Macaca fascicularis: one gene and its partners. The protein of the gene in region 2 binds, or shares a complex with, the protein of the main gene of each other region. Links are inferred from orthologs where the notes say so. Each region holds a gene or a part of one and is shown on either strand. Other genes may lie near its edges.

Region 1 (3,652 bases), on a different chromosome or scaffold from region 2:
GGCCTGTGTGAGTGACCACAGCAGGAAAAGTGAGAGTGATTCGCTAGCCCTCAGGGGCAGGCGGTGAGGGCATTCCTGGAGGCACAGCTGTGGCCTGGGGCAGTGAGCGCTGGTCGTGGTCACTGGTTTCTGGTTTCTTACTCACTGGCTGTGTGGCCTTGGGCCAGTCACTGCATCTCTCTGAGCCCAGTTTTCTCTACCACAGCGTGGGTAGCCAGCACCTTCCTCGCGGGGATGTGTGTAGCAAGAACTGGCTTGTGAACCTCCCCTACTCCAAGCTTGGAGCCCTGGGATGGCCCTCCCAGCATTCTTTGGGCTTCCCTGTCTCTGATGTTTATCAGGCCCCTCACCCCATGTCTGGACTCCTGCTAGCTGTGGGGGCAGGATCAGACTTGTACTCCTTGGTGGCCCCAGTGCTGGCTCTGCACCCGATGCATAGTAGGTGCCCAGCAAATGCATCTGGAGGCTCGTTCGATGGCCCTGCAGGGCTCTCTGGGTCTGGCAGGAGACGCTGGGAGTCAAGGTCAGTGCCCCACGCTATCTCCTTGGCAGCACATATCTTTCTACCATGTGCCATGGCCCTTCCCATGGCCCGTGACTGACAGCTTTCACACACACTCTGGGGTGGGCTGAAAGGTCCCAGAAGCAGCCCTCTTTCCCTGGAAGGTGGGAGACGAATGACAGCACCCTAGCTTCCTGCCTCCTCTGGGGACGCCCTGAGCACAGTCCATTCTATCTCCCAGGCGGCCCCAGCAGGACTGAGCAGCAGTGGTCCACAGCCATGACAGCTCAACCACCTGCCCTGTGCCAGCTGCTGTCCCCTCCTTTATTCCTCCCCACTCCCCTTCTGCGGCGTCCTGGGGTCACTTCCCAAATAAACCCCTCATACCACCTCCTTGTCTCAGGGTTTGCTTCTGCGGGGACCCAGCCTGAGAGGGGATGAACATTCATTCAACAAATATTGAAGCTGGGCGCGGTGGCTCACGCCTGTAATCCCAGCACTTTGAGAGGCTGAGGTGGGCAAATCACTTAAGTTCAGGAGTTCAAGACCAGCCTGGTCAACATGGTGAAACCCTGTTTCTATTAAAAATACAAAAATTAGCTGGGCATGATGGTACATGCCTGTAATCTCAGCTACTTGGGAGGCTGAGGCAGGAGAATCACTTGAACCCAGGAAGCAGAGGTTGCAGTGAGCTGAGATGACACCACTCACTCCAGCCTGGGCGACAGAATGAGACTCCATTTCAAAAAACAAAAACAAAAACAAAAACAAAAAAATAAACATGGAGTGACAGCATAGGGAGAGAGTTAAGTTTATTCATATCAAGACTTGGAGGAAAATTTACACAGCCTCAATTACCTTTCCAAAGGACAGGTACAAGTAGGAAAAGGATTCAGAGATAATCTTTATTTCTTCTTGTTTAGTTGTATTACATTTTTTAAAAATATAATGAATCAGTCACGAAACAGATAAAGAAACCTAATTGCAAATGCTGTGTGACTTTGGGCCAGTTGCAGACTGTCTCTGGGTCTCAGCCTCCGAGGAATGCCATGGAGCTGGACCACAGTCCCCAGGTTCTGGGGTTTGAGACTGACCTGACCTCTGCCTTGACTGCTCCCCACAGGTTTGACAACTATTCAGCCAATGTGATGGTGGACAGCAAGCCGGTGAACCTGGGGCTGTGGGACACTGCTGGGCAGGAGGACTACGACCGTCTCCGGCCACTCTCCTACCCACAGACGGTGCGCTGCTCCCCCGCGCCTTGCAGTCCTGACCTTTGCTGTCTCCATTCCCTCTGCTTGGAATGCCCTTCCAGTCAGCTCAGCCTGGGAAACCCTTCCTCTCCCCTGAAGGCCCAGCTCAGGGAGTCTGCCTGCCTTGCATGTCCCAGGCAGAGCAGGGCCTCCTCCTGCACTCCCCCAGCCCTGTGTTTGTTCCCGGTCCTCAATGTGCCTGTTTTCCCACCCCACTGCCTGCTGGGCTCTGGCACCCCCTATTTCCAGTGGTGGGGCAGGTGGAGTCTGCACAGGGCCCCAGGTTGGTGAGCCCTGGGAGTGCTGGGGGAGGGGAGAGGTGGAGGATGCCTGCAGGTGGCTGCTGGGTCCTTGCTCTTCCTCCAGGGTGTGCAGGGAGGCGGCTAAGGCCTGCAGATGTGGATGGTATATGGATTGGAGTATGGACTCCGGAATCCCAGATCCGCCCCTCACCAGAGTGCACGCTGGCAAACCCTTTAACCTCTGGAAGCCTCACTTTCCCCATCAGAGGAATGGGGCTAGCAGCAGTGCTTGCTGCAGGGTGACATGTGAGGATAACCACTTTGCAGAGGCCCTGACCTTTAGTAAGCATCCCAACAAACAGCAGCCTCGTGGTAAAGGCGAGAAGGGTATCTCTGCTCTGCCCAGATCCTAAGTCCCCAGCGTCCCCTGGGCTGTTCCACCCTCAGGGAGCCCCAAGCTCCACCTCTCAGTGACTGCCATGGTGGGACACCTCTGGGCCCTCCTCAGTGGCAACCCTCGCTTGCTCTGTCCCCAGGACGTCTTCCTCATCTGCTTCTCCCTCGTCAGCCCAGCCTCCTATGAGAACGTCCGTGCCAAGGTGAGTTGGACAGGGTGGGCCTTGGGGGCTCTGGGGAAGGTAACCCTGAGGGACAGAGGGAGGAACTGGTGACTCTAGACTGGTCCCTGGGGCAGCAGAGGCCGCATACAGAGAGGGTCCCCAGTGCCAACCAGGGCTGGCAGGGGGACTGAGGGGGTAATATTTGGAGGGTCTGGAGTGGGGGTGCAGCGATAGTTAGCTATACCCCCACTTTCCGTGGCTGCGTCCTCCTCCTCCCTACACAACCTCATGTTCGCCTCCGATTGTCACATAACCTCATGTTTGCTTCTTATGTGTGCACAAAACCTCGCCTCCTCCTTTTCTACAATCATGCGCCCCCTCCTTCCTGTACAACCTCGTGGCCTCCCTTCCCTGTGCCACCTCATGTCTCTCTTCACCCTCATGCCCACGTCTGATCTTCTAGCAACTGGGTGCCCCTCCTTTCCCTACACCCTTTTACCCCCTCTGATCCCTGCACAGCCTCATGCCCGCTCTTGACCCATACAACCTTGTGTCCCCCCACCCACCTGCCCAGTGGTTCCCGGAAGTGCGGCACCACTGCCCCAGCACACCCATCATCCTGGTGGGCACCAAGCTGGACCTGCGGGACGACAAGGACACCATCGAGAAACTGAAGGAGAAGAAGCTGGCTCCCATCACCTACCCGCAGGGCCTGGCACTGGCCAAGGAGATTGGTACGGGCCTCAGACTCAGAGAGGGGAACTGGCTGCAGGGGAGCCCTGACTTGGCCTCGTGGTGTGTAAACATGGGCTGCAGGGCCAGGCTGTGCAGTTCGAACTTAGCTGTGCTGTGCACTTGCTGTGTGATCTTGGGCGAGTCACGTAGCCTGTCTCTGCCTGTGTTTCCTTATCAGAAAAGCAGGGGCTAGTGATAGCTCCTGCCTGCTGGGGTGGTTGGGGGAATTCAGTGAGTTATTCCAGGTGGAGCTCCCAGGGCGGCACCTGTGTGTGGGAAGCACTCTGTGTTAGCTAGTAGTCGTCCTAGTAGTATTAGTAGTATCTATTAATAGATATTGAAAATAAGGAGGTACGCTTT
Region 2 (3,652 bases):
ACTCGGTGTGGCTTCATTTCTCTAATTTTTAGAGTCTAAAGCCCTGTTCAAAGTGTGGTTTCCGATCAGTAGCCTTGGCGTCAGCTTTTTTAAAAATGCAGATTACCTGGCCCTACCCCAAATCTTCTAAATCGGTATCTGCATTTTAAAGAGATCCCCAGGTACTTTGTATGCTCCTTACAGTGCCAAAAGCAATAGTCTACAGGGTACCTGTATGGTGATCTCTTGAGTTTCTCAGGTGTTCTAGCAAGATAAGTGATCCCCCTCAAGGTTTTATAATGACTAAAGTTTTAGTGAGAGCAGAAAGCACCTTGAGACATCTGTCAACTTAAGATTTTAGACCCAGAAGCTGTAACTAAAAGTGGGGACAGTGTCTCCTTAACAATATGTATAAATTGTATTGAATCTTTAAAAGAAGCAGATACACTAATGAAATTTAGGAGACTAAAGAAAAGAACCAAGTTGTGACCCTACTTGGGACAGGCAGGTTGAGGAAGTCTGAGATGGGGACCTGGAAATCTTTGTTTTTAATAACTCTCCAGGTAATTTGGTATAATTTAAAGATTCCTTCTTAAAGTTGAAGATATCTGGAATCTTTTGTTGGGCATGAATTCAACCTTTATATAGTAATATACATATTTGAGTTTCTAAAATATACAAGTTTAGATATGTATGGGGGCTGCTGCTTTAGGCAGATGCAAGCTTCAAAAACATCTTGGTGACAGACTCCTTACTTAGGGTGTTGACTCGCAATTGTCTTGAATTCATTATCCCAGTTGGGCCGTCCATACAAAGTCTTTTGTTTCAGGCCTGTGATCACATCTTTCTCCTCATCATGGTGCACAGCAAAGTGATTGGCCTACAGGAAAGGACATGAATTCAGAAAAAAAGAGACATGCTGTAAAAGCACATGCAATGTATTTACATCCTTCACAAACTATTCTAACCAAGGCACCCTGCTGGATGCTGAAAGGTATACAAAGATAAATAAACTGGATCTCTCTCAAGCAATTTACAATCTAGAAAGGGAGACTTTGAAGTATAAATATAAATAATCCCATATGTCGAACAGGGTATGATGAGTGTCATGAAAGAGGCACAAGTGTCCTAATGAGAACAAAGAAGGAAGGTGGAGTAGAAGAACAGGGTAAGGGTTAGGGCTGCAGTATTTGAGTCAGGCATTGATGGATGAGTAGTGTCTCACTGTTTTTCTCTCTGTTCTATGTTTGACTTTTTCTCTTCACCCTAATATACTTCCACTCCTTTGGGAGAATTACTAAGAGATGTAACAATTTTTGACTAAAATGCAGCAATACTTTGGTAGCATAATAAGGCATCAAATCAAGCCTAGAGCTAGTGTGTGTGCGTGTGTGTGTGCGTGTGTGTGCGTGTGTGTGTGCGTGTGTGCGTGCGTATGTGTATATAGTCACATGCTGTTTTTCTGCTACCATTCTAGGAGGCTTCAGTTTGAACAACAGGTATTTTTCATGAAAGTGGTTAATTAAATTTATTTTTAAAAAGCAAATCAGATTTGAAATTCACTAGATGGATGATGGGCATAGAGGATATTAAGAAAGGTGGGCACTCCAATTTAATAATCCTATGGAGATCAGTTTGGTAAAGCAAAATAATTAATTTTTAACACATAAATTACTGATTTAAAAAAACTGTGCTTTGTTTTTTAAATAACAAAACAGTAAAGCAGTTTATATAATATAGATTTTTCCTGAGTTTTATTTTTATCAAAGCATTTTTGTTTTGCTTTTAAATTGCAGAAGTGGCATTTCAAAACCACTTTTTCTGGAGCAACAATTCTTATGGTGATGTTTCCTTAATCTGTATTTGCTACAAGGTTCCTTTAAGACTTGGAGAATCTGTGGTAAACAATATGTCAAAACCCAAATGGGAATTCAGTCTTCACAGTGACAGGGTGCACATGGAAGATGCTCAGGGTTGTGGAGCCAATGTCTGTGTATACCCAGTTGCTATAGTTTGAATGTATCCTCTCCAAAATTCAGATGTTGCCAATGTGATAGCATTAAGAAGTGGAGCCTTATAAAGATGATTAAGACATAAAGGATCATCCCTTATGAATGAGTTAAGGGCTTTGGAAAAGAGTCATCACACAGTATTCGATGAGCCTGCCCTTTTTCTTTCCACCATGTGAAAACACAGAATTTCTCCCACCCAGAAGACGCAGCCTTTGCTAGACAACCAAACCTGTTGGTGTCTTGATCTTGGACTTGCCAGCCTCCAGAACTTTGAGAAAATAAATTTCTGTTCTTTATAAATTATCCAGCCTCGGGTATTTTGTTATAGCAGCACAAATGGACTAAGACACCAGCTGAGACACAGGACAGAAATATGCAGAGACTCTTGCCTTAGCTCCTCACTCATGGTGGCAGCATCTGTTTCCAGGCCAAGTCATTAATGTTTGCTTATTTACAAAGATGTTACCACTCCAGGAATCATTAACTTGTTTCAGGGTTTGTCAATTTCAGCACTGTTGATATTTGGGACTGTATAATTCTTTGTTGTGGGGGGCTGTCTTGTTAATCGTAGGATATTTACATTGCCAACTGTCTCTGGTGTGTGTCTTGGGGGGAACAGAGCAAAACTGTTCCTGTTGAGAACTATTGGCTTACTTTATTATAGTGGTCTCCAAACATTTTTGGAAGAGCACCCTCATTGTACACACACACACACACACATACACACACACATACATGCATATATACCACCTTCATTAGATATATAATAATTTATTCATAAACGATAATCATGAACTACTGCGAGATGCTGAGAGTGAAGGCTCTGGCACATTCTGTCTCTGTCACTTACTTGTTGGGTGCTCTTAGGAAAATGACCTAACCTGGTCTGAGTTTCTTCATCTGTAAAGTGTGGATAATAATAGGAGCTACTTTATAGTGTTGGTGAGAGGATAAAATTAGACAATCTATGTAAATAGATACATAAGAATAATACTTGGCAATATATATACATAATAATTATAAAGGTAGTGAGTATATTATAAAACATACAAAAACATAAATTAAATTTTATAAACACATATGTACATATAAATATATATGTGATACATATATAAATACGTATTAAAATATATACATATATACAGAATCCTTTATATGCTTATGTACGTTATATATACAGATGCTCCTCAGCTTACAATGGGGTTATATCCTGATAAAACCATCATTAAATTGAAAATACCATAAGTCTAAAATGGGTTTAATACATCTAACTTAATAAACATCATAGTTTAGTCTAGACCACCTTAAATGTGCTCAGAACACTTATATTAGCCTACAATTCCACAAAATCATCTAACAAGAAGCCTGTTTGTAATAAAAGGTTTAATACCACATGTAATTTGTTGAATGCAATACTGAAGTATGGCTTCTACTGAATGCATATTGCTTTCACTTCATTGCAAAGTTGAAAAATCAGGCCGGGCGCGGTGGCTCAAGCCTGTAATCCCAGCACTTTGGGAGGCCAAGATGGGCGGATCACGAGGTCAGGAGATCGAGACCATCCTGGCTAACACGGTGAAACCCCGTCTCTACTAAAAAAATACAAAAAAAAAACTAGCCGGGCGAGGTGGCGGGCACCTGTAGTCCAGCTACTCGGGAGG
Region 3 (3,652 bases), on a different chromosome or scaffold from region 2:
TACCAGTTGTATGATTCAAGGATTTATTAAGTCATACATGCAAAACATAATGCTAACTGCATTAGCAAAAGATCAATGTAAAAACACTCCACAATTCTGCAACTGTCAATTTAAAAAATCCTGTTGTCGTGGCTGAAAGGTTCCGCGTTGTATTCTTGCCGGTGAGTTAAGTTGTACAGAACATTGTCAGCACTAGCACAGTTTACAGAACCTCACAGACCCAAAGGAACATCATTAGGCAAAGCGACTACAGGAGGCGTGTGTCTGCGTGGGCGAGGTAAAGAGGGTCAGTATTGGTCAAGTGACAGTGTCAGTAATCTGGCAAGACAGTGATGTTAAGAAGGTTCATAGTTTAAGAATTATCTAAAATATTTTAAAAACTATAAAGCTGCAACACATGATTTTTACACCTAGTTACTAGAAAACTAAGGAAAGCACTTATTAGCTTTGAATAAAGTAACATGGAAAGCACTTTTACTCATCTACAAAAAAACCTTCTAATGCATTATCAGAAAGATTTTATAATACAAGGAGGCATATTGCTCAGTAAGAAGGGGTCCTATAAGAAAAGCACTTACTAAGTTAGCGACTAAGGGAACGACCAGTTTAAAGATGAATTAAATGCCCAATTTGGGGAGGGATGGCAGGTGTAAGAGAAAGGAAAAGCTTAAGAACACATTTCCTGATAATACCAACCTTTCTTTCATCATCTACTGCATTTGACAGAAATTAACCTTTTAGAGTTTTTACCCGTGACACTTTTGTTCCTTGTACAATGTAGTGTAAATCTCCACTTCGTATTTTGTCAAAATACTGTCTTTGTCCTTTGATCACACACACCCCACCCGGCACACCCACAGCTAAACAGAATTCTTCATTAGAGGAAACACGAGTTCTGTTCAAAATCTCCGCAAGAGCTGGTCAGAAAACTCACTATGAAATCAAAAAGACTGATCCAAAGAGCTGAGCTGTTACACTCACTCCATTACAGTACAATGTTATGTCGTGAACATGGGCCGCTAAATCACTGGTGAGTTCAATGGCAACGCACCATTCGGGAGGCTGTTCTGCTTTACACATCTGAGAACTACTGAGCAAGTGTCTGCATCTCCTAACTGCAGAGGCTACAGTCTTCTCAAAGACGAAGGTCCTTACACAGTTTAGTGCTTGGTGTTCTTAGCACAACAATGCAGTATAGTTCAGAAGGTATTTTGGCAACTTTGAATCTGAGCAAGAATAGGGTGGGCTTTTGAAAAATAAGGCTTTAAGAAGGTTTGTCATTTTAGGGCTAAATTTTAATAGAATGTGAGTCTGAACTCTTACATTTAGAACAAACAAAAACCTTCAAATTACTGATTGGTTCAAAATGGTTTTATGGAAAAATCAATCTGTAACAAAAAGTTGGCATTGAGTGCGAAGGCTCCACCGTTTTTTTTTTTTTTTTTGAGCAAAGCGTACAAAGGTTCCAAGGGACAGGACCAAGAACGAGGGGCTCAGACGTTTACAACAGCAGGCATTTTCTCTTCCTCTTCTTCACGGGAGGTGGGCAGAGGACTGCTCGGATCGCTTCGTCAAACACTGTCTTGAGGCCTCGCTGTGTGAGCGCCGAGCACTCCAGGTATTTCACAGCACCTACAGGAAAACACGACCACACAGCAGTGTACACTTGAGCCCACTCTCTTCTGATCACAACACCGGCGGGAGGCAGCTCCGGGGGCCTGGGCACTTTCTGCCGGCTCCCAGCCCTGCGTCCACCTTCCAACGCTGACATTAAGACCCAGAAGGCGATGCCAGCTGGTTCCCCAAGAGTACAACCAGGCCCTGAGTGGGAGACACACACCCTCCTTTCCCAGACTGGACTCCAGTCTCTGTCACTACAATAAAAGAGGTACAAGGCAGAGGAAAAACGCAGGATTCCATACCAATCTCCTTAGCCATGGCTAGACCCTGTGGATAGGTGATGGGAGTCAGCTTCTTCTCCTTCAGTTTCTCGATCGTGTCTTTATCATCCCTAAGATCAAGTTTAGTTCCCACTAGGATGATGGGAGTGTTGGGACAGTGGTGCCGCACCTCAGGATACCACTAGATGTGAAGAAGGAACAGAGGTTGTGATGTGCTCCTTTACAGACGCCTTTCACCTAAATCACACCCAGCCGGCGGCACTTGTGCCAGACACCTAACCTCAGGCACAGCCTCCCCACCGAGCCTTCATGTGGTTCCCACCTTCAATCTGAGCCTTGAGCCATAAGAAACATCTCAGGTTTTCCATGAGCAAGCTAGGACTCCGGATCATGGCCGGACAGAACCACGACCAGAGAGAATGGGCTCTACAACCGCAAGGGAAGAGGCGGAAGGGAAGAGAGTTCCTCCCAAAGCAAATAAACCACTTTGTTTTTGGTAAAACAAGTTCTTAGGGTCATCTGAGAAAATTCATCATCTGTTCAGAAACGAGAATAAACTACCTAGCCCAAGGTCTCAGGTCTGCCGCCATTATCCCCACTGAAAATGTCCCTACTGAAGGGCCTGTCTCGTCATTTTCACTAAGAAGTTTGTGAAAGAGACTGGAGTAGAAAGAAATGGTGGTTAGTTTTATTAGACCAATTCTGAGTGCCTCATTATTTTAATGAGGTCCAGGAAACTTCTGAACCAGAACCTGAAGCTTTAAAAATCCACATATTAGGCCAGGCACAGTGGCTCACATCTGAAATCCCAGCACTTTGGGAGTTTGAGGTGGGTGGGTCACTTGAGGCCAGCGGTTTGAGACCAGTCTGGGAAACATGGTGAAACCCCGTCTCTACTAAAAGTACAAAAATTAGCCAGGTGTGGTGGTGGGCGCCTGTAATCCCAGCTACTCAGGAGGCTGAGACAGGAGAATCGCTTGAACCGGGAGGTGGAGGTTGCAGTGAGCCAAGATCGTGCCACTGCACTCCAGCCTGGGTGACAGTGCAAGACTCCATCTCAAAAATAAATAAATAAAAATAAACTGCTGATGGCTCAGGCGCAGTGGCTCACACCCATAATCCCAGCACTTTGGGAGGCTGAAGTGGAAGGATCACTTCAGCCCAGGAGTTTGAGACCAGCCAGGGTGTACAAAACCAGCGCTACAAAAAATTTTTAAAGATTAGCCAGGCACAGCGGCGCACATTTACTGTCCCAGCAACACAGGAACGGAGGCAGGAGAACTGCAGGAGAACTGTTTGAGCCCAGGAGCTCAAGGCTACAGTGAGCTCCGATGTCACCACCACACTCCAGCCTGGACAACAGGGTGAGACCCCTGTCTCAAAAGAATAAAAAACCCAATCATGTACTTAAGTAGCAAATTCCTAAAACCAATTTAAATAACTGAAAATTCCTAGGCTAAGTGATATTTTAAAGTATTTATTTCTTTTTTTTAAAATTTATTTATTATTATTATACTTTATAAAGTATTTATTTCTGAGAGTGTCATTCTATAACTCACATACTTTAAATCCCCACCTACCTTTGCACGGACATTTTCAAATGATGCAGGACTCACAAGGGAAAAGCAAATTAAGAACACATCCTACAAAAAGGAAACACAGGGAAACATTTAGACGACCTTGGAACAAAGCCTGCACTTTGCTTTCTGGATGTTGCTGGGAAGGACTTGTCGGACGCAGAGCGTGTCTAC

The links. The genes of interacting proteins can lie anywhere in the genome.
Region 1: CYBB (region 2) and RAC2 share a complex: the UniProt entries of both Homo sapiens proteins name them as parts of the phagocyte NADPH oxidase complex. The link is inferred for Macaca fascicularis from reciprocal best matches to the Homo sapiens genes CYBB and RAC2.
Region 3: CYBB (region 2) and RAC1 share a complex: the UniProt entries of both Homo sapiens proteins name them as parts of the phagocyte NADPH oxidase complex. The link is inferred for Macaca fascicularis from reciprocal best matches to the Homo sapiens genes CYBB and RAC1.

What each region holds. Positions count from the first base shown.
Region 1 is NC_088384.1:14,440,564-14,444,215, forward strand, and holds part of RAC2 (ras-related C3 botulinum toxin substrate 2), read left to right. Parts: intron 1-1,625; coding exon 1,626-1,743; intron 1,744-2,533; coding exon 2,534-2,596; intron 2,597-3,131; coding exon 3,132-3,291; intron 3,292-3,652. UniProt on the Homo sapiens protein: Plasma membrane-associated small GTPase which cycles between an active GTP-bound and inactive GDP-bound state.
Region 2 is NC_088395.1:37,738,618-37,742,269, reverse strand, and holds part of CYBB (NADPH oxidase 2), read right to left. Parts: intron 860-3,652; coding exon 735-859; intron 1-734. UniProt on the Homo sapiens protein: Catalytic subunit of the phagocyte NADPH oxidase complex that mediates the transfer of electrons from cytosolic NADPH to O2 to produce the superoxide anion (O2(-)).
Region 3 is NC_088377.1:45,964,004-45,967,655, forward strand, and holds the end of RAC1 (ras-related C3 botulinum toxin substrate 1), read right to left. Parts: intron 3,545-3,652; coding exon 3,482-3,544; intron 2,083-3,481; coding exon 1,923-2,082; intron 1,633-1,922; coding exon 1,502-1,632; 3' UTR 10-1,501; downstream 1-9. UniProt on the Homo sapiens protein: Plasma membrane-associated small GTPase which cycles between active GTP-bound and inactive GDP-bound states.